Linked DNA regions of Yarrowia lipolytica. The protein of the gene in region 3 purifies or fractionates together with the protein of the main gene of each other region. This does not show direct contact. Links are inferred from orthologs where the notes say so. Each region holds a gene or a part of one and is shown on either strand. Other genes may lie near its edges. The genes, in order: YALI1_A13100g, YALI1_B23609g, YALI1_C15021g and YALI1_D26394g.

What was found.
Region 1: the proteins of YALI1_C15021g (region 3) and YALI1_A13100g purify together in Saccharomyces cerevisiae (affinity purification with mass spectrometry; 3 studies listed by BioGRID). This does not show direct contact. The link is inferred for Yarrowia lipolytica from reciprocal best matches to the Saccharomyces cerevisiae genes PRP8 and STO1.
Region 2: the proteins of YALI1_C15021g (region 3) and YALI1_B23609g purify together in Saccharomyces cerevisiae (affinity purification with mass spectrometry; 4 studies listed by BioGRID). This does not show direct contact. The link is inferred for Yarrowia lipolytica from reciprocal best matches to the Saccharomyces cerevisiae genes PRP8 and BUD31.
Region 4: the proteins of YALI1_C15021g (region 3) and YALI1_D26394g purify together in Saccharomyces cerevisiae (affinity purification with mass spectrometry; 3 studies listed by BioGRID). This does not show direct contact. The link is inferred for Yarrowia lipolytica from reciprocal best matches to the Saccharomyces cerevisiae genes PRP8 and CWC22.

The regions. Positions count from the first base shown.
Region 1 is NC_090770.1:1,308,073-1,313,072, forward strand, and holds YALI1_A13100g (uncharacterized protein), read left to right. Parts: upstream 1-1,930; coding exon 1,931-4,483; downstream 4,484-5,000. Other genes in the region: YALI1_A13095g (uncharacterized protein), read right to left, coding at 1-1,454. UniProt on the Saccharomyces cerevisiae protein: Component of the CBC complex, which binds co-transcriptionally to the 5'-cap of pre-mRNAs and is involved in maturation, export and degradation of nuclear mRNAs.
Region 2 is NC_090771.1:2,359,986-2,362,705, reverse strand, and holds YALI1_B23609g (uncharacterized protein), read left to right. Parts: upstream 1-1,740; coding exon 1,741-2,184; downstream 2,185-2,720. Other genes in the region: YALI1_B23622g (uncharacterized protein), read right to left, coding at 1-456; YALI1_B23603g (uncharacterized protein), read left to right, coding at 2,242-2,316, 2,373-2,519. UniProt on the Saccharomyces cerevisiae protein: Involved in pre-mRNA splicing. Important for bud site selection.
Region 3 is NC_090772.1:1,496,102-1,503,919, reverse strand, and holds the start of YALI1_C15021g (uncharacterized protein), read left to right. Parts: upstream 1-1,789; coding exon 1,790-7,818. Other genes in the region: YALI1_C15048g (uncharacterized protein), read left to right, coding at 1-593. UniProt on the Saccharomyces cerevisiae protein: Functions as a scaffold that mediates the ordered assembly of spliceosomal proteins and snRNAs. Required for association of BRR2 with the spliceosomal U5 snRNP, and the subsequent assembly of the U4/U6-U5 tri-snRNP complex.
Region 4 is NC_090773.1:2,636,443-2,641,394, forward strand, and holds YALI1_D26394g (uncharacterized protein), read right to left. Parts: upstream 2,969-4,952; coding exon 518-2,968; downstream 1-517. UniProt on the Saccharomyces cerevisiae protein: May be involved in pre-mRNA splicing.

The DNA.
Region 1 (5,000 bases), on a different chromosome or scaffold from region 3:
GCAATGGTAGTAGTCGCGGGTATCGTGTCAACAGCATGGTTCATAGTATCTGGACGAGCAGCGCAGACCTTGTCCAGAAACTCTTCGGCATCTCGAATGGCAAGATGCATCTGTCTGCGTTCTTTTTTCAACTTCTTCTTTTCGGTCTGGTCTGTTGTTTTGCTCATGATTGTACCCAAGTGCAGTCGACGGTTTATGAGGTTGTCAATGGAAGCACGGAGCACGTCGGCACCCGGAGGGACTGCGGCAGAGGGTCGCACATGGGCTGCGGGAGCTGTGGGCGGAATTCTGCTTCTGCGTATGGCTTCTCGCAGAGCAATGGTTCGCTCGACGAGAGCTTCATTCATTGTACGAGTGTTGCCGCCTTCTAGGGCAGGGGGAATGGATGGCGGCGTTCCCTGGGACAAGGTGGGGGAAGATGGGTCGAGAGGAGGAGCAGGTGATGCAGAGGGTATGGAAGCAGGTGTACTGCTTCGAGACAAGGACGCTGCTCCACTGCTAGGGGGAGGTATGGCGGAGCTATAAGATGCAGCTGGGCCTGTACTTGAGCTTGCAGTTTGAGCTCCGATTGGTATTGGTGGTAAAGATGTACCCGAGGGCGGTTGTGTAGCAGCAACAGGAGCAGAAGGAGTCGCAGGTTGTTCTCCCGAAGCACTCCGGTCCGAGTCTGAGACAGCTACAGCCAAAGTGGCGCCGGTGATGGATGTCTGCGGTGCTGAGGGTTTATCAGTTGGTGGAGATTTATCGCATGTCTCCGTGGGAGCGTTCATGGGCGCCACAGGGGCCTCCTCTTGGGTCTCCATGTGTTCAGGCACAAACATGGTCTCGAAACTATCTAGAGAGTCGTACTCGCCCACCCACTCAAACTCTTCGATGTTGTCCACGTTCAGCAGGGCGTTGCATCCGTCCAGTAAGGACACATTGAGTCGTCGAAACTTGTCGAGGTTGCGTTGCACGAAAATAGCCAGGCCACGCTTGTCGCGTTTGATCCTCAGAGTACTGATTCGGTCCAGGGTTTCGGAGAACAGCGTCCTCACCTCGCGTCGTCGGCGCAGTTTGAAGGTCTTTTCGATGGTCGTAGCAATGTCGATTGGCTCGGAGATGCCCTTCAGCATGTCGCCTAGCTGGGGGTCTGTCCTGGTCAAGATGTACTCTTTGATCTTGCGCGATACAAGTATCAACTTGGAAGCTGAGGAAGCCGGTTGCAAAGACTGTTTTTGTTGTTTCTGGCCACCACTGTTGCTGGCTCCCATGAAGCTAGCCAGCCGAATCAGCGTCTCGTCGGTATCGTTGTCGCTGATGGGACACAAGACATGTCGGGCTGCCAGGGTGGACACCAGAGACACCGAGCACCGCTTCAGCCACAGCGCCTCATTTCCCAGAGTCGACAGATATGCGTTGAGATCATCGTTGAACTCCAGGTATTCCGCATAAGTGGATTTGAAGCCCAGCATGGGATAGTGTGTTGTAGCAGTTCAAGATCGATCTCGTGTTTAGGTAGAAAACATGTATCACGTAAACAGACTATCAATTATATAAATGGTGTGAATATTTGGGGGGGGGGGGGGGGGGGGGGTAGTGAGTGGGTAAAGCCCTTCCATTCAACAAGTGTATATCCAAGTAACACTTTTTTGTGTACATACTGGTCATGGTGCATCATCTGTAGTTTTTCATTTTGTATTTTTTTTTAGTTTTTTTTTCAATTTTTTTTTCAATTTTTTTTTTCACAATTTTTTTCTTCATATTTTCTTCATAATTTTAATCATAATTTTAATTTGCCACTAAAACAACATCCGGAATCGAACACACAACTCTTTCTTCCCTGAAGCTATATGGAAAATCTCCAACCCTAACCCGCGCTCTAATTATTTGTCTACATAGTAGTAGTGGAAGTACAGTCCTGTACCAATCTACCAACCACACAACCATCATGTCGTACAACAAGCGAGGACGAGATGACGATGACGGGTATGACGGCGGGCGACGGCAGCGACACACGCAGACCACGCACCAGATCTTCGACCGGCTGTACTTTGACATTGTCGAGATAGGCGACCCTTCTCGAATGTCTCTGACAAATCGAGTTGCTCAGGCGGGATTCGGATTTGCGCAGGATCTGGACAACCTGGCGATCCGAAACGGAGTTCTCGAGACATTCATTGCCACGATCATGGAGCAGCCCCACAAAACACCGCTGGTTGCAGCCATTGTTCTCGTGGCCAACTCCTCCAACTCGCTGGCAGGTCAGCTGGCAGTGGAGCATCTGCACAGCAAGATTGAAGGATGGCTCAAGCAGGGCAACTATAACCACGTCAAGATAGCCGTGCGACTTTTGGCCTGTCTCGAAGGAGCCATTGAGGAGGGACGAGGAGTGCTGGTTTTCCTGGATCGACTGTTGGATCGAGCAATTGAGCGGGACCAGGCCAAGGGTAGCGAGTCGCGTGATCCCCTGGTGGAGGAGCTGTACGCCACCATATTTCTGACTCTTCCCTACATCGGATCCACTTTGGTGTCTCTGGGCAAGTCTGTGGAGGCCTGTGATCAGCTGCTGGAGAAGGCCAACGGTCATTTCGGTATCGAAAAGTTCCTGTCGAACCCCATCGTCGAGCCCTACACCGGCGACGACAAGCCCTACGAGTGCGATCTGTTCCTGGCCAACCTCTACGAGGGAGTCAACTCCGTGGCCAAGGACGGATGGGCCGTCAAGTCGTTCATCAACGTGTTAGAACTGATTGAGCCTGTGGTGGAGAACAAGGAGGTGACCCAGAAACACGTTTTCCCGGCAGTTTCTATTCCCGAGACTCTGGCCGAGTCCACTTCCACAGACTACATTTACCCCAGAATCTTCTTCCGAGCCTACATGCCCATTGACGTGGAAGGCGAGGCCATGAACACGGTTCCAGACCCCAAGTCATACGACGCTGTGCTGTGGAGAGACATGCTGTCAGACACCATCCAGAATCTCGACTTTAACCGAAAAGAGTGCGCCAAGCAGCTGTTCACCCTTGATCTTTTCCTCAACAAGGGCACCTTCACGGGACCCGGAATCTCGGTAGACAAGCTAAGTGGCAAGTTTCTGGATGCCAAGGCCGACGACAGACCCATCTCCACTCTCAAGGTGGAAGACGTGGCGTCTGAAGCCATCCTGGCAGAGCTTTTTCGGCTCGCCACGCCTCCTCTACAGCCTGCGTACTTTCATTCTCTGTTCATCGAGGCATGTATCATGGCTCCTCAGGCCATTGCCCCTGTTTTCGGCCGAGCGGTGCGGTTCCTGTTTGCCAATCTGCGGTCGTTTGACACAGAGCTAATCCACCGGTTCCTGGACTGGTTTTCGCACCATCTGTCCAACTTTGGATTCACCTGGAAGTGGCAGGAGTGGGTCGAGTACGTCGATCTGGAACCTCTGGACCCTCGGCTCGTCTTTATCAAGCAGCTCATCAAGAAGGAGCTCCGTCTGTCATTCGAGTCGCGAATCAAGGAGACTCTCCCCGACGAACTTGTGGTGTTTGTGCCTACTGACGGCGAGTTGATGCCAACCTACGAGTACATTGAGTCTGAGAACCAGTACAGAGAAGTCGCCGACCAGTTGTTGGACGTGTTCAAGGACAAGTACGACCAGGGTGTCTCCGAGACATACCTCGAGGTGATTGATTCCATCAAGGAGGCTGTCCCCGACAACAGAGAGCTCCTACTGGACATTGTCATCGGAGCCGCCATCTTTGTTGGCTCTCGATCACTGTCTCTGTCCCAGGACTGGATTAACCGTCTTGCCCAGCAGCTCCAGCACGTGATTGAGTCTGCTGAAGATGAGTCTGCTGCCGTGACAACCGTCATGCAGTTTTACCGAAACCAGCCCCATGTAGGAACCGTTGTTCTGCACTTTTTGCTGCTTGAAAACGTCATTTCGCCTGCTGCTATTATCACCTGGCTGTTTGAGTCGCCGGGCGATGTTGTTTTCACCGAGAACCACGGCTGGGAGTGTCTGATTCGAACTCTAGATGAGGTGGCCCAGGAGGGAGAGGTGCAGGATCACGTTGGACCCTTCAAGAGTGTTTTCGAGTACCTGGCCGTCAAGGACTCCGACTCGGAGCAGCTCGGATGGTGGAAGCGACAGGTCACCAAGTCGCTCATTCGAAAGTACGTTGATTACATTAAGAACGAGCAGATTCTCGAAGTGGTTCCCACCAATGTCAAGGACATTGTCGGCCAGTATCTTGCTGTTCGACCCATTGTGCCCCGGAAGAAGGTGATCATCGCCGAGCCCAAGGTTGAAGAGGATCAGCCCATGGCTGACGCTGCTGCCAAGGGTGTCACCGAGGCCACCTCGGCTGTCGAATCAAAGGAGACCAAGGAGGCTGAAACCGCTGCCGAGCCCAAGGAGGCTGAGGTCGCAGAGTCCAAGGAGGCTGAATCCGCTGCCGAGCCCAAGGATGCTGAACCCGCTGCCGAGTCCAACGACAAGGACGAGACAATGCAGGAATAAAACATAGGTATGTAATTGTAAATGAAATGGATTGGATGGGTTTCTGTGAGTTTTTGTAGTGCTCGTAGGACATCGTATTCAGAACCAAAAAGTACATACCCTGCTCAATGACACAACTGAAAAGTACTCGACCGGAGCAAAAAAGTCACATGAAGAACACGTGGATGGACGACACCGGAATCGAACCGGGGACCTCGCGCATGCTAAGCGCATGTGATAACCAACTACACCAGACGCCCCTTGTGTTTTCTGTGAGCCCACCTAATGTGTGTCAAAACAAATGTTGCCAAGAAACTCCCCAAAAGTGACCCAAAAACGACCATAATTTGCACCGTTAGATACTGGTGGATTTAAAAACATCCTAATAATTGCTATTTTGTCATTATGTTCATTTCTGGGGCGTGATGGGAGAAAACTGCCATTTTAGACCAAGGTGGAGTGCATAATACATGCATAATCGACGCACATAAAACGGGTTTTTGATAAACTCTAAATTTGGCGTCTTAGTTCCACATCT
Region 2 (2,720 bases), on a different chromosome or scaffold from region 3:
GATGGCCACAGAAATCACTGGTTTGATCCACACGTACTGCAGTACCGCTCGTTTGACGGTCAGAAATTCGTGAGGGTCGGAAATGTTGACCTTTCCAAACAGAGTGTGGAGAGGAGCTCGTCCCTGGGTGGTGAAAATGATGTTTCGTTCGCCGCCGAGCAGATTGGTAAGCAGCGAAAAGAAGGTGTAGAGGGTGAAGGCTTCGTAGATTTCTTTGAGAGCTGATAGCACAATGTTGAAGCGGGCCAGAGGTCTGGAAATCTGGTCCTGGGTCTCCAGAAGAGACAGCCATGACGAGAGCGCAAATAGAGGAACCAGAAACAGAATCCGAATCACCAACCGCTGGTCAGCGGGACGGGTGTATGTGTAGAGTTGTAGGAGAATGGATATTGTCGAGATGAAAATGGCGATAAACGTCGACCATGTCGCCACGTTGATGAGATATTGCGGTAACATTGCGTCACTAGTGTTATGTCACTGTTGTTGTGAGTCCGCTGGATGGGTTGCTGTGATGACTAATACCGTGTTGTAATTGCTGTTGTCTGTGTCGGCGCTGCGTTGCCGTGGTTACCTTTGAATGGGAGGGGGGCGTGTTTTTAACCGGGCTCGGCCGTAACGTCGTGGGGCGGCGTCTGACTACGCCTAGTCTGATCCCGTGATGGTGTAGTGCAGAAGTGTACTTTTTTCTACTGCTGGATAATATAGGGGTTGAGTTTGGGAGTTGGGGGAGGGTGGCGACAAAGTGGAAAAGTAACAATTTGGGGGAGATTTTGATATCATCAGAATCAGAGGAATGGGAAGAGTTTTCAGATATAATTGGATTTTCTATTGGACTATTATTGGGTGTTTTATATGGAGGTTGTGGGGAGAGGGATGGGACTGTAGTTGGGGACCAATAGAGTTACTCACTATTACTTGGAAAATTACTTAAACATTGGGCGCGTGGAATAGTGCTATTAGATAGACGTTCAACAATTGGAAATGTAGCCAAAAAGTGTTGTATATATAACTTCAAATATGAATATCATAGGGCTATCTCTTCAATTCACCCACTGAGTCATGTTCGGTTGCTTTGGGTGGCGAAAACAGCAGAAACAGCAAGTCTAGAAGAAAGAGAGGGAGAGGAAACTGGAACAATCGGACACACTTCAGAGAAGATGTCAACAGCAATGATACCGTCTGTAGCCTCATTTTCTCCTCTTCCACCAATGATTTTGACGTCAGTACCTTATCAGAAATTTTCTGTTGATAATAGCTTCACTGCATGAGAGTCAGGTCCGTCACAACTGGGTATATTTGTATGGGATCAGGTGCTAAAATTCTTACTGTAGCATTACAGTCACTCTAAGAAGATAATGGGCCAAAAATCACTCAAATAGCTCCATTATTGGCTACATTAGATCCACCCCTGTTTTCCCCCTATGTAACTCAAATGCATTTTAGCTGCAGCAAAAAAACCAACCTCCAAAAAATCATCACCACTTTCCAAAACAACCAAAACAGCAAATTCTGATCCGAACCTCAGAAAGCACAAACACGTGACGGACTCGGCGATACCTAAATCACGTGAAACACCATAAGGGAGCCGATCGAAACCCCTGACGCGACACGAAACTCCAACTGCATTTATCGACCATCACATCACATCCACAACGCCACCACCTGGATATTGATCGAAGAGAAAAAGGGGCGCCAGATACCACCTGAAACCTTACTAAGCATCATCAGACACCGCACAAAATGGTGAAAATCCGCACTTCACGATCGAAAGCGCCTCCAGCTGGATTTGACGACATCTCCGATATTCTGCAGGAGTTTGGAGACAAGCTAAAAGACGCCCAAAACGCTCCAACCGAGGGAAAGAAAAAGAACCAGTTGTTATGGGACATTTATCGCATCCATCACCAGCGGTCTCGATATGTCTATGAGTTGTATTACAAGAAGGAGGCCATCACCAAAGAGCTGTATGCATATCTTCTGAAGAAGGGGTATGCCGATCAGAATCTCATTGCCAAGTGGCGAAAGCAGGGATACGAGAATCTCTGCTGTTTGAGGTGCATTCAAGGAAAGGAGAACATTCACGAAGGAACTTGTATCTGTCGGGTTCCTCGAAAGGATATCAAGGATGACAAGCCGGTGGAGTGTGTGACTTGTGGGTGTCGGGGTTGTGCTTCGAGTGATTAATCGACGAGTGAATGAGCAGTGAATCACAGCCACTAGTCGCAGCCTCGAGTCACAGCCATGAGTGAATCAACGAGAGTCCCAAGACTGGGATACAGCATTATCAGGTTTGGCAGCTGCACAACAGCTACCATTGTCTGACTATTGGTACAGGGCTTAGTTACTGAGTATCATGATACAGTCTGTCAAAGTTTGTGCCAGTATCTTTCGCAGCTGGAGGATACGACAGCCAAGTACCACCGACCAACCGACAGACGGATCTCCTTGGGCTCATACCGTCCCGGAGACAATGGGTGAACTCCAAGAGAAGGAAAAAGGATACCGTTAAGACTTTGTAATATAACTTATGGACTGGGGATGATTCCAGTAGAGAACGTATAGGCCCTGGAATATGATGTAGACGACTGTGATGGGAAACATGATCTTTGCCGAGTTTCAATGTTTCAATGTTTCAATGTTTCAATGTTTCAATGTTTCAATGTCTCCACCTGCCCACCTGATTTGCAAGGTGCCATCTCCGACACCCTCAGGACAGGAGT
Region 3 (7,818 bases):
CCACTAGTGCCAATTCTTTCGCGCTGCCACCATACAATTTCTCCTCCGCAGCTATTGGCAACGTCAACATTGCCCCCTTCGTCGGCATGATCTTCGGATCTGTCTTTGGAGGCTGGTTCAACGACAAGACCATCATATGGCTGTCCAACAGAAACAAAGGCATATACGAGCCGGAGTTTCGACTCTACAGTCTCGTATTTGCCAACTTTTCGCTCACAGTGGGCGTTTTTCTGTTTGGCACATCTCTGGCCAACCGAGTGCATTGGATGGTCCCCACAATCGGCTTTGCCATCATTATGTTCGGATTCGGATCATCAGGAGCCATAGTCGTGACCTACCTGCTCGACTGCTACGACAAGATTGTTGCTGACGCCTTCATTGGCGTGATTGTGGTCAGAAACGGACTGGCCATGGTCATCATCTTCTGTTTGGGTCCATGGGAGGAAAGGATGGGTCTTCAGAACGTGTACATTATGGCCGGCTGTTTCTCGCTCGTTCCGTTGATTCTCACAGTTCCCATGATCATCTGGGGCAAGGAGTTGAGAAGAAAAAGTGGGCCTCGCTATCTCAAGGAGTCTCTTAGGGGTCAGTGATAGATTATTGCATATATTTAGAGCAGGCTGGCACGGGTACAAGTGCTGTACAAGTGAAGTATTGGCAGTTGTGTGACGATTTAGCAAGTCTCCAATGTCGTACAAGTTCTTGAAGTCGGCAATATCACTGGAGTACCAGTCCGTGTGTGTCTATATCCAACCGCTTTAGCAACCCCAAGAAAACTGCTGGTCATTGTGGAAATGTTTCATTTCTTCACCCTCGAAGGGACTCTGAAAGTCCCCCAAACAGTTTCAAAGACTCTTCTTCATCTCCACCTGTTTTAATCAAATAAATCTGAATATTTTCAACATTCCCAGTTTTTTATCTTTTATTCCAAGTTTTTTGTCTTTTATTCCCAGATTAAATCATCCCAATATCCGCTTAGCCTGCAGCAAATTCAAAACACCTTTTTTCCAAACTCAAAAATCATTTCCAATCTACACATTCACATCGCCTGATCAGCTCTAGAGGTTGATACAAGAGTGAGTACGAGCGCGCAAAAGTGGCGCAGATGGAAGTGGCACATTGTTTGGTGGCAGAAGAACCGCCCGGCCACCACACGGCGCCAATGGAGACACCTCAGCAATGACATCAACACCGACCTACATGATATGGACATGGGCTGGATGTGGATACCGAGAGTGCGACGGTGGTTGTGTCATGCGATATAACCAGCCGAGATGCGTGAACGTGCCACGTCATCGATGGGGATATTCGATACTGAGCTGTTTCTGGTTCAGATCATGTCATGTCACATACCATGAAGAGACTCTTGACGACATGGGCACCAGACCATCAGCGTATTTACTACGTGGTTGTGTTTGCCACTCATCAAATTGCCACGTCATTAGTTGTCACACCATCGGTTTGATTCGCTTATGGGGTCCGTTCAGACCTCCTACCCTTGCTTTCGTTTACTAACACAGTGCCACCTGGACTACCACCCCCTCCAGGTCTCAGACCACCAGGGGCGCCACCAGGCTTCCCCACGGGAGCACCACCTCCTCCCGGAGCTCCACCCCCTCCCGGAGCTCCACCTCCTCCGGGAGCTCCTCCAGGTGCACCTCCTCCACCTGCTGAGGACTCACGATCGTCTCTCTTACAAGCCCGAAAGAAGCGATGGCTCAAGCTGCAGAAGCGCAAGTTTGCCGACAAGTCCGGCAAGTCGACGTTTGTGCACTCGTCCAAGGCAGATATGCCTCCGGAGCACCTGCGAAAACTCATCAAGGACCATGGAGATATGAGCTCGCGCAAGTTTGCGTCCGACAAACGAGCTTACCTCGGAGCTCTCAAGTTCATGCCCCACGGTGTGATCAAGCTGCTGGAGAATATGCCCCAGCCCTGGGAGGCCGTTCGAGAGGTGAAGGTGCTGTACCACATTTCTGGTGCCATCACTTTCGTGAACGAGATCCCCCGAGTCGTGCCTCAGGTGTACACAGCCCAATGGGCAACCATGTGGGTGATGATGCGACGAGAAAAACGAGACCGACGACACTTCAAACGAATGCGATTCCCTCCTTTTGACGACGAAGAGCCTCCGATTTCTTGGGCAGAAAACATTCAGGATGTTGAGCCCCCAGAGGGCATTTTGATGGACCTGAGTCCCGTGGATGACTCAGCAGTGGTGGATTGGTTCTACGAGCACAGACCGCTGTTCGAGGACGGACTCAAGGTCAACGGGCCCTCCTACCGGTCGTACAGACTGAGTGTTGAGCAGCTGACCACTCTCTATCGACTTGCCACTCCTCTTCTTCCCGATGTTACCGACCCCAACTACTTTTACCTGTTTGACAAAAAAGCCTTTTACACCGCCAAGGCTCTGAATATGGCAATTCCGGGAGGTCCAAAGTTTGAGCCTCTCTACAAAGACCTGGATCCCGACAATGAGGACTTTGGTGAGTTCAATGCCATCGACAGAATCATTGTGCGAAACATGATCACCACAGAACACAAGGTGGCATTCCCCCATGTGTACAACTCCATGCCTCGAAAGGTGGAACTGGTGACGTACTCGTACCCTCAGGAAGTTGTTGTCAAATCTGAGGATCCTGATCTGCCTCCTTACTACTTTGATCCCAAGTTGGCTCCGATCACGAGGTCGAAGATCGATAATAATGTGGACGTTGATCTCTCCGAAGATCTTGGACCTCTCGCACCTCCCCTGGAGTCTGTTCCTCTTGTCAACGAGCAGCTTTCATCAGCTCTGGCTCTCTACCATGCTCCCAGTCCCTTCGATCGACGTTCCGGTCCTACTGTGCGTGCTCAGGACGTGGCTCTTATCAAGGATTGGTACCTGCAGCATCCTCCCAAGGGCTACCCCATCAAGGTGCGAGTTTCCTACCAGAAGCTACTGAAGTCGTACGTGTTGACGTCTCTGACCTCTCAGTCTACAGTCACTCAAAAGAAGCGTGGATTGCTGAAGTCGTTGAGAAACACAAAGTTTTTCCAGCAGACGGAAATTGACTGGGTGGAAGCTGGTTTACAGCTTTGTCGACAGGGTTTCAACATGCTTAACCTGTTGATTCACAGAAAGGGTCTCACATACCTGCATTTGGACTACAACTTCAATTTGAAGCCTACAAAGACACTTACTACCAAGGAGCGAAAGAAGTCTCGGTTTGGAAATGCCTTCCACCTCATGCGTGAGATTCTGCGAGTGGTTAAAATCCTTGTGGACGCTCAGGTTCAATTCCGACTCGGTAATGTCGACGCCTTCCAGCTGGCCGATGGTATTTACTACACCCTGAACCACCTGGGCCAGCTCACCGGTATTTATCGATACAAGTACAAGGTGATGCACCAGATTCGAACTTGTAAGGATCTGAAGCACGTGGTTTACTACAGGTTCAACGTCGTTATCGGTAAGGGTCCTGGCTGTGGTTTCTGGCAGCCTGCCTGGCGGGTGTGGCTATTTTTCCTCCGTGGAATCATCCCCCTTCTTGAGCGGTGGCTGGGAAACCTTCTGGCGCGTCAGTTTGAGGGTCGTCACTCCAAGGGCGTTGCCAAGACTATCACCAAGCAGCGAGTCGAATCTTCCTACGATCTCGAGCTTCGAGCGTCGGTTCTCAAGGATATTCTGGACATGATTCCTGAGGGTATCAAGGAGGCCAAGACCAAGACTGTTCTGCAGCATCTATCTGAGGCCTGGCGGTGCTGGAAGGCCAACGTGCCGTGGAAGGTGCCTGGTATGCCTGCCCCCATCGAGAACATTATCTTACGTTACGTCAAAGCCAAGGCTGAGGGCTGGATGGCTGCTGCTCACTACAACCGAGAGCGAATCAACCGAGGCGCCACTGTGGACAAGACGCTTGCCAAGAAGAATCTCGGCCGTCTGACTCGTCTGTGGCTCAAGTCCGAGCAGGAGAGACAACAAAACTTCCTGCGAGACGGCCCATACTGGGACGGTAATGACGCACGGGCCATCCAGCAGATGATGGTGAACTGGCTAGAGTCACGAAACTTTTCCACCATCTCCATGCCTCCTGCCAGTTACAAGCACGACACCAAGCTGCTGGTGTTGGCGCTGGAGGGTATGAAGGAGGGCTTCAACTCCAAGGGACGTCTCAACCAGAGCCAGCGAGACGAAATGGCGTACATAGAACAGGCCTATGACAATCCTCATGAGACTCTGCGACAGGTGAAGGAGAACTTTGTGCGTAACGAGGGTTTCAAGGACGTGGGATTGGAGATGATGGATCACTACTCTCACGTGACTCCCGTGTACGACATTGACCCCACCGAGAAGATTGCTGACGCATATCTGGACCAGTATCTGTGGTATGAGGGTGACAAGAATGGCCTCTTCCCCAACTGGATCAAGCCTAGTGATTCGGAAGTGCCTCCCTTGCTCGTGTACAAGTGGTGCCAGGGCATCAACAATCTGGACAACATTTGGAAGACTGACGCTGGAGAATCGACTGTCATGCTGGAGACTTCTCTGAGCAAGATCTGGGAGAAGATTGACTTTACTTTTTTGCAGTATCTGCTCCGGTTGATCATGGACGAGAACTTGGCCAAGTACATCATTGCCAAGAACAACGTCCGGCTCACTTACAAAGACATGTCTCACACCAACAACTATGGTCTTTTGCGAGGTCTGCAGTTCTCGTCGTTTGTGGTTCAGTACTATGGTCTCGTTGCTGACTTGCTCATCCTGGGTCTCACTCGAGCGTCTCAGATGGCTGGTGATCCCAAACGGCCCAACTACTTCATGCAATACCCCTCCGTCGCTGTGGAGACGGACCATCCTATCAGAGCGTACTCTCGGTACATTGACCGAATCCACATCCTCTTCCGGTTTACTAAGGACGAGTCTTCGGATTTGGTTCATCGGTTCTTGACTGAGCACCCGGACCCCAACTTTGAAAACGTGGTTAACTTCCCTACTAAGAAGTGCTGGCCGCGTGACTCTCGAATGCGGCTCATGCGGTCCGACGTGAATCTTGCACGCGCCGCGTTTTGGGAAATTCAGAACCGACTCCCTCGAGCCATGACGTCCATTGAGTGGTCTGAGTCGTTTGTCTCTGTCTACTCCAGCGAAAACCCCAATCTGCTGTTTTCCATGTGCGGTTTTGAGGTTCGAATCCTGCCCAAGTGTCGAACTGTGGCGTCTGTGCCCGTCAAGGACTCTGTCTGGAACCTCACCAACGAGTCTACCAAGGAGCGAACTGCGTATGCTTTCTTGCGCGTCTCTGATGCCGATATTGCGCGGTTCAACAACAGAATTCGACAGATTCTCATGTCGTCTGGTTCCACCACCTTCACGAAGATTGCCAACAAGTGGAACACTGCTCTGATTTCGCTGTTCACGTATTATCGAGAGGCGGCTGTCGCCACTGAGCAGCTTCTGGACACCCTGGTCAAATGCGAGACCAAGATTCAAACTCGTGTCAAGATTGGCCTCAACTCCAAAATGCCAACTCGTTTCCCCCCTGCCGTGTTCTACACCCCCAAGGAGCTTGGTGGTCTGGGTATGTTTTCTGCTTCTCACATTCTGATCCCTGCCAGTGATCTGCGGTGGTCCAAGCAGTCTGATCAGGGCGGCATTACCCACTTCCGAGCTGGTATGACTCATGTTCACGGCGAAGACAAGATCATTCCAAATATTTTCCGGTACTTGACGACCTGGGAGGCAGAGTTCACCGACTCGCAGCGTGTGTGGGCCGAGTATGCGTCCAAACGAGCCGAGGCCAAGGCCGAGAACCGGCGTCTGTCTCTGGAGGATCTAGAGGACTCGTGGGACCGAGGTCTGCCTCGAATCAACACATTGTTCCAGAAGGACAGACATACGCTGGCCTACGATAAGGGTCACCGTGTGCGAACGGAGTTCCGACAGTTCTCCATCCCTAGAGTCAACCCCTTTTGGTGGACGTCTCAGCGTCATGACGGTAAGCTGTGGTCGCTGAATACATACAGAACAGACGTCATCCAGGCACTGGGTGGCATTGAGACGATTCTGGAACACACTCTGTTCAAGGGTACCGGTTTCGACAACTGGGAAGGTCTCTTCTGGGAGAAGGCCGCTGGCTTCGAGGACCAACTCAAGCTCAAGAAGCTGACCAACGCCCAGCGGTCTGGTCTCAACCAGATTCCCAATCGACGCTTCACTCTCTGGTGGTCTCCTACCATCAACCGAGCCAATGTCTACGTTGGTTTCCTGGTACAGCTGGATCTCACGGGTATCTTTTTGCATGGTAAAATCCCCACGCTCAAGATTTCGCTGATTCAGATTTTCCGGGCCCATTTGTGGCAGAAAATCCACGAGTCGGTGGTGCTTGATATCTGTCAGGTGCTTGATCGAGAGCTGGAGACGCTGCAGATTAGTGAGACTCGAAAGGAACAAATTCATCCTCGAAAGTCGTACAAGATGAACTCTTCGTGTGCTGATATTGTGCTCAAGTCGGCCTACAAGTGGAACGTTTGCAAGCCTTCATTGTTGAACGATTCGTCCGACTCCATGGATTTCGCTCAAACGTCCGAGTTCTGGCTGGACGTGCAGCTTCGATACGGAGACTACGACTCGCACGATATCAGTCGGTACACTCGAGCCAAGTTTCTGGAGTACACCACCGACGGAGTGTCTGTCTACCCCTCGCCTGTTGGAGCCATGGTTGGCATTGATCTTGCGTACAACATGTACGACGCCTATGGCAACTGGTTCCCCGGTCTGAAACAGCTCATGCGTCCTGCCATGTCCAAAATCATGCAGGCCAACCCTGCATTGTTTGTGCTGCGAGAACGAATCCGAAAGGGCCTGCAGCTGTATCAGTCGCAGCCGCAGGAAGCGTTCCTCAACTCGCAAAACTACCAGGAGTTATTCAACAACGAGGTGCAGTTCTTCGTGGACGATTCGAACGTCTACCGAGCCGCTGCTCATACCACTTTTGAGGGCAACTTTACCAACAAGCCTCTTAACGGTGCTGTGTTCATTTTGAACCCCAAGACCGGTCAGCTGTTCCTCAAGGTGGTTCACACGTCCACTTGGGCCGGTCAGAAGCGTCTGTCTCAGCTGGCCAAATGGAAGGCGGCCGAAGAGGTGGCTGCTCTGATCCGATCTCTTCCAAAGGAAGAGCAGCCCAAACAGGTGATTGTCACTCGAAAGAGTATTGTTGAGCCGCTGAAGCAGCAGCTGTTTGAGTTCCCCAACACGGTCATCCGGCCGTCGGAGCTCCAGCTGCCGTTCAAGTCTGCTCTGCAGGTGGAGAAGCTCGGAGATCTGATTCTCAAAGCAACTGAGTCGCAGATGGTTATTTTCAATCTCTTTGACGATTGGCTCAAGTCAATTTCCAGTTACACTGCCTTTGCTCGTCTGGTTCTCATTTTGCGAGGTATGCATGTCAACCATGAGAAGACAAAGATCATTCTGCGTCCCGATCACACGGTTGTGACTCTTGACCATCACATGTGGCCTTCCTTCTCAGAAGATCAGTGGGTGCACGTGGAGAATCAGCTGCGAGACATGATTCTCAACGACTACGGCAAGAAGAACAATGTGAACATCCAGTCGCTGACTCAGCACGAGATTCGAGATATTATTCTGGGCCAGGAGATCAAAGCACCTTCTCAAAAGCGTCAGGAGCTGCAGGACATTGAGGAGAACAAGACAGACTCTCAGGTGACTGCACTAAAGACCAAGTCTCAAAACGTGCATGGAGACGAAATGGTGGTGGTAACCACGTCCAACTACGAGCAGCAGGTGTTTCAGAGCAAGACTGAGTGGCGGTC
Region 4 (4,952 bases), on a different chromosome or scaffold from region 3:
TCCTCGCAGCAGACTTACCCTGCTCTTGTTGGGTCCGGAACAATAGTCAAAGGCAAATGTCACATTTGAGTTCACACACTCTCCTGCCAGTACATACTGTACATACGTGCACTATGACAGGTCCGTGTTCGCGCGGAGGGTCTGAGGGCGGCGCTGGTGGCGTTTAAGAATTGGCGCACAAGATACTCACTGTGTGTGTTTGTGATCGTGGCCTATCATTGCGGAACACGCCCGTCTATATATACTCTTCTGTAGAGACACACGGACCCCGTGATGGTGCTTAGCAATCGCAGAGAGTCAAAACTGTTTAAGCCAACGGAAGCTTATTTTAGGTGAAATGCGCTAATACCCGGTTGTAGCCGTAAAAAGCGGTTGTTGGTTGGACGGGCGGAAAATGGGGTAAATGAGAGGGAAAAAATTCAACAAACAGACAGAGACGAGAAGGAATTAAAAAAATACAGTATCAATTACATCTACCTGATGGCGCGGGGGGTGCGGGGGGTGCGGGGGGCGTGTGTTAGAACAAATCACTGGCGCGCACTCGCTTTCGAGGCGGCGAAAGACCTTTCTCCGGAGTAGGAGCACGGCCCTTGTTGGGGCTTCTACAAGGACTTCTAGAAGGACTTCGAGAGGAACCTCCAGACACGCTTGGAGACCTGCTTCTAGAATAACCAACTCGTCTGACCGGAGATCTCGACCGCGAATAACTGGCGGCCCGGTAACTGCTCCGGCCTTTAGCCCCTTTAGATTTAGGTCTCGGAGATGGCGATCGGGAATAAGATCTCGAACGAGAGTATGACCGCGAAGGCGAACGGGAATAAGATCGAGACCGCCGTCGACCACGAGGCGGAGAACCGGTTCTATCCCGAGATAGAGATCTTGACCGTGACCGGGATCGTGGCCGGGATCGTGGCCGTGACCGCGAACCAGGAGACCGAGTTAGCGACCGCCTTCTACTTCCTACACCTCGTCGTCGTCGTCGCCCCCGATCATCCTCAGACACTGAGTCATAGGAGTCATAGGAGTCATAGGAGTCATAACTATCGTAGGAGTCGTAACTATCGTAGGAGTCGTAGGAGTCGTAGGAGTCGTAGGAGTCGTAGGAGTCGTATGAGTCATAACTGTCGTATGAATCGTAACTGTCGTACTCTCGCTTCTGCTCTTCCTCCTCCTTCTTCAGCCTCTCCTCCTCCTCCACCAGACCAGGAAGAATCTCCCGCATACCATCTGTCAAAGGACCAAGATTAATGGCAGTGAAATAGTTGATGGCAAACCGAACATGAGAAGCATTCGTCTTGGGGAACATACCGGCAATGTACTGCTGCACAAACGACTTGGAAAGTCGCTCCTTCAACAGATCCATTCCCAGCTCCTGACGCATCTCGGTGAACATAATCTTGAGAAAGATACGGTTCGAGGGGTTCGAGTCCTCTTCAGTCAGAGAAACAGCCTCCAAAACCTTCCACGACAGAGAATCTGATGCCAACAGGTACCCAAAGAACGTGGCAATGTTTCTGATCTGATTGGGCTCGTATCTGTGGATAACCGAGTAAAAGAACCCAAAGGTGTTCTCAAAGTTGGTTCTCCATTCCCGCGACAGTCTCAGAAGCCGCTCTCCTGTACCTCCGTAGATTTTGTTATAAATCTTCTCTTGAGCACAACACTCCACAAGCATGTTCGTCACCTCCTGGGTCCGCTTGAGACGCAGAATCAGAGCCTGGTCTTCGGGGAGACCCTCAGGGATCTCAATAACCGTTCGAGACAGCTTGACAAGCTTGTGAACGATTTCGTCGATCGACATGGTCGACATGACCGTCAGATAAATTTTCTTTCGCAACGTAGCAAGCTCTGTACCCGTGAGGTCTCGCACAGCCGAGGTAGAGGCTTGAGCCTCCTCCTCTTCATCCTCCTCCTCCTCCTCTTCATCATCTGCCTCTTCCTCGGCTTCACTATCATCTTCCTCTTCGTCGTCAGAGTCTCCCAGGATCTCCTTTTTCAGCAAATCGTACTTCTCCTCGTTGGCCTCGTAGTCAGGGTCCATAACAAAGTAGTTGAGCAGCTTATCATCTGTAAACTTGTCGTCCAAACCCGTCATATGTGTCACATAGTCCTCCTCGTCTACCAGGTCCAGTTCTTCTTGAACCACAGGGTAGTTTTCGTAGCCGTCTTTTCTGATCTGGAACAGCGTCTCGATCATGTACTGCGTTCGTTTTTCCAGCTCGCCATCATGCAACACAGCTCGAAGACGCTCAAATACTCCGTTGTTGGCAGCAGGCGAAACTTCGGCCAAAAAGGCACCGGACTCCTTGATGAAAGCCACAGCAACCTCGACAGAGTGATCTGTGGGGGTCTCAAGCAACAAATGCAGCAACTGAAGCACTAGAACCTCATGAGCAACATGGTAATTGCACAAATGCGCCAGAAACGTCACACTTGACAAACACACGTCCTTCTGATTACGCTTGTAGCCCCGTCGAAATTGCAGAATGAGTCGTCGCACAAGCAGCTCGCCAACCTGAGGTAGCTTGGAGTTGACAATGGCCGTCAGACAGGCGTAGACAGGCGTATAGGGCAGAGCAAGACTCTGGGCGGTCATGACACTTCTACAGAACAGCCCACGTCCTCGGATGAGATTATGAGTGAAAATCTCCCCCGCAATATCTCGAATGTTCTGAGCACTGACCTTGTTCACCAGCGAGTTGATTGCCTTCTTGAGATTGTCAAACTGGATCTTCTGGAACTCCTTGGACGTCTTATCCTGGACCAGCAGCTTCTGAAGCGCTCTGATTTTAGCAGGAGGAACGTATCGGCCTCCAGACTTTAGCTCCATGAGTTTCTTGAGCTCTTCTGCCGCTGCCTCCAAGTCATCTTCTGGGTTCTTTACTTTTTTTTCCAGTGCCTCTTCAGAAGGATCCCCCTCCTCCACATCCTCCACAACATCCTCAGAAGTATCCTTCCTGTCCTCCATCGAGACATTGCGTTCCTTGTCGTTTGTACTTTCCTTGTCGTGAGTACTTTCCTTGTCGTTCGTGCTATCCTCCCTCTTGACAGTCACATCCTCCACCTCCCTAGGGGCCAAGGGGCTTCTGTCATCATGGCCTCTAGGGCCATCTTTGCGTCGTCCATCACCTTCCCTTCGTGACCTCCGGCTTCTGCGACTGGTTCTGTGTCGGCGCCGCTTCCTTCGGGGCGACCGAGATGGAGAATATGACCTGGACCGAGATCGTGACGGGCTTCTCGATCTGTCGCCACGATAACTGCGTCTCCGGAGGGATCGAGAATCGGAATGGTCACGCTTCGAGTCACGTGTTCGGGCTCCTTTCACGTGTTCGGCCCTTTTCACGTGTTCGGCCCTTTCACGGTGATTGACTCCTTTCACGTTCCGCGTTCTTTATCACTCTGCTGGTTATGTGTTGTCGGTTGACTGTCTTCTGTTCGTGCTTTGAATGTATTTCTGTATGTACGGTGGAAATATTTCAGTTCAATATCGTTGCATGAGGTAAATTGCCGTTAGAGTTACTAGGTGTTAGTTGGAGTGACCTAAGTATAATTGGGAAGTCAAAAAATAAATAAAAATAAATAAATAAAATAAAAAAAAAAAAATAAAATGTTAACTAATTTTGGCGCGAAATGGGCCCGATGAAGATGAAATTCAAAAGGAAACTCGTACTATCCTTCAGCTACAACTTGTACTTGTTCAAGTACCAGGTGAGATTTTACCCTTTGAGCGTCTTTTTTCTTGCACTATTTACTTGTATTAGTATTCACGAAAGTAACCCGAAGTAAAGTCGATCTCAAGTAATATATATCTGTTGTCTTTTGTTCTGATTTTCCGATTCAATCCGATATATTTTGATTTATTCTGACTTTCTGATTTAAAATGGCGATTCTATTATATATAGAGAAATATATATATATATACTTTCAACGTGAGTATACTTGTCCCAAAAGTGCAATATATGGCGGCTTTCTCAAGGTCTAAAATGAGCGTATAATATATCATTTTAGTCGCATAGTGCTCCTAATCACATTCCCGTATATATATATTTTGCCCCATCTCGTCCCAGTCCCGTCTGACCCGGCTTCAGTCGAAAAACAGCCTTCCATGCTTCCAGTCAAATGTTCATTCTCTTCGGACAGACTTGTGTGATGTCCATGTATTGATGACAAGTATTATTGATTAGATATAGTTAATTAACAAACTCACAACCCTTTAGGGACACCACGTTCCGATAGTAGCACACACCCTTCGGTGTGTGCGTGCTTTCTCCATTCACCAAAAGAGATTCTAGATCAGAGAACTATCTAGAGGATTGGACGTTCTCGTCTACGACCAAAGCTGGTCCTCTCATCACTATGTTGACTTTCATCATTATGTGGGGAAACTAGCCAGGTATTACCTTACCGGGTATTACCTTCAACACCATGGCCATTTTCGTGTGTACATGTTCTGAAGAGGACTTAGCCGCCGGCAAAAACCCACACAACTCGCGCAAATCGCACGATACGAGAAATCGGATAAGCCCAACACACTCCTTGTGTCCAGGAGCACCGTATTCTGAGGTCAAAATGCTGAAAACGACCGTGCCTCCTCAAATCACAGGGGTTCATCGTTTATGAACGGCATCAAATAACGTTTCCTTTTTATGTTCGAAAAACATGAACTCGGGCCAGTACAAGTACACTGTGGCTTATGTTTACCCTCATTATCTCACGTCTAGCAGTTGTAAGACATGTTAGGGCGATCATTCCCGAAACGGACGATATTATCCGAACATATCCTGATTACTCGAACATGTCCTGACTTCTCGAACATGTCCTGATTACTGAAAATGTCCTGATTACTGAAAATGTCCTGACTACTTGAACATGTCCTGCTACTCGAACATGTCCTGCTACTCGAACAAGTCTTCATACCATTCACATGTCAACAAGGCCAGTATAGAAACGTC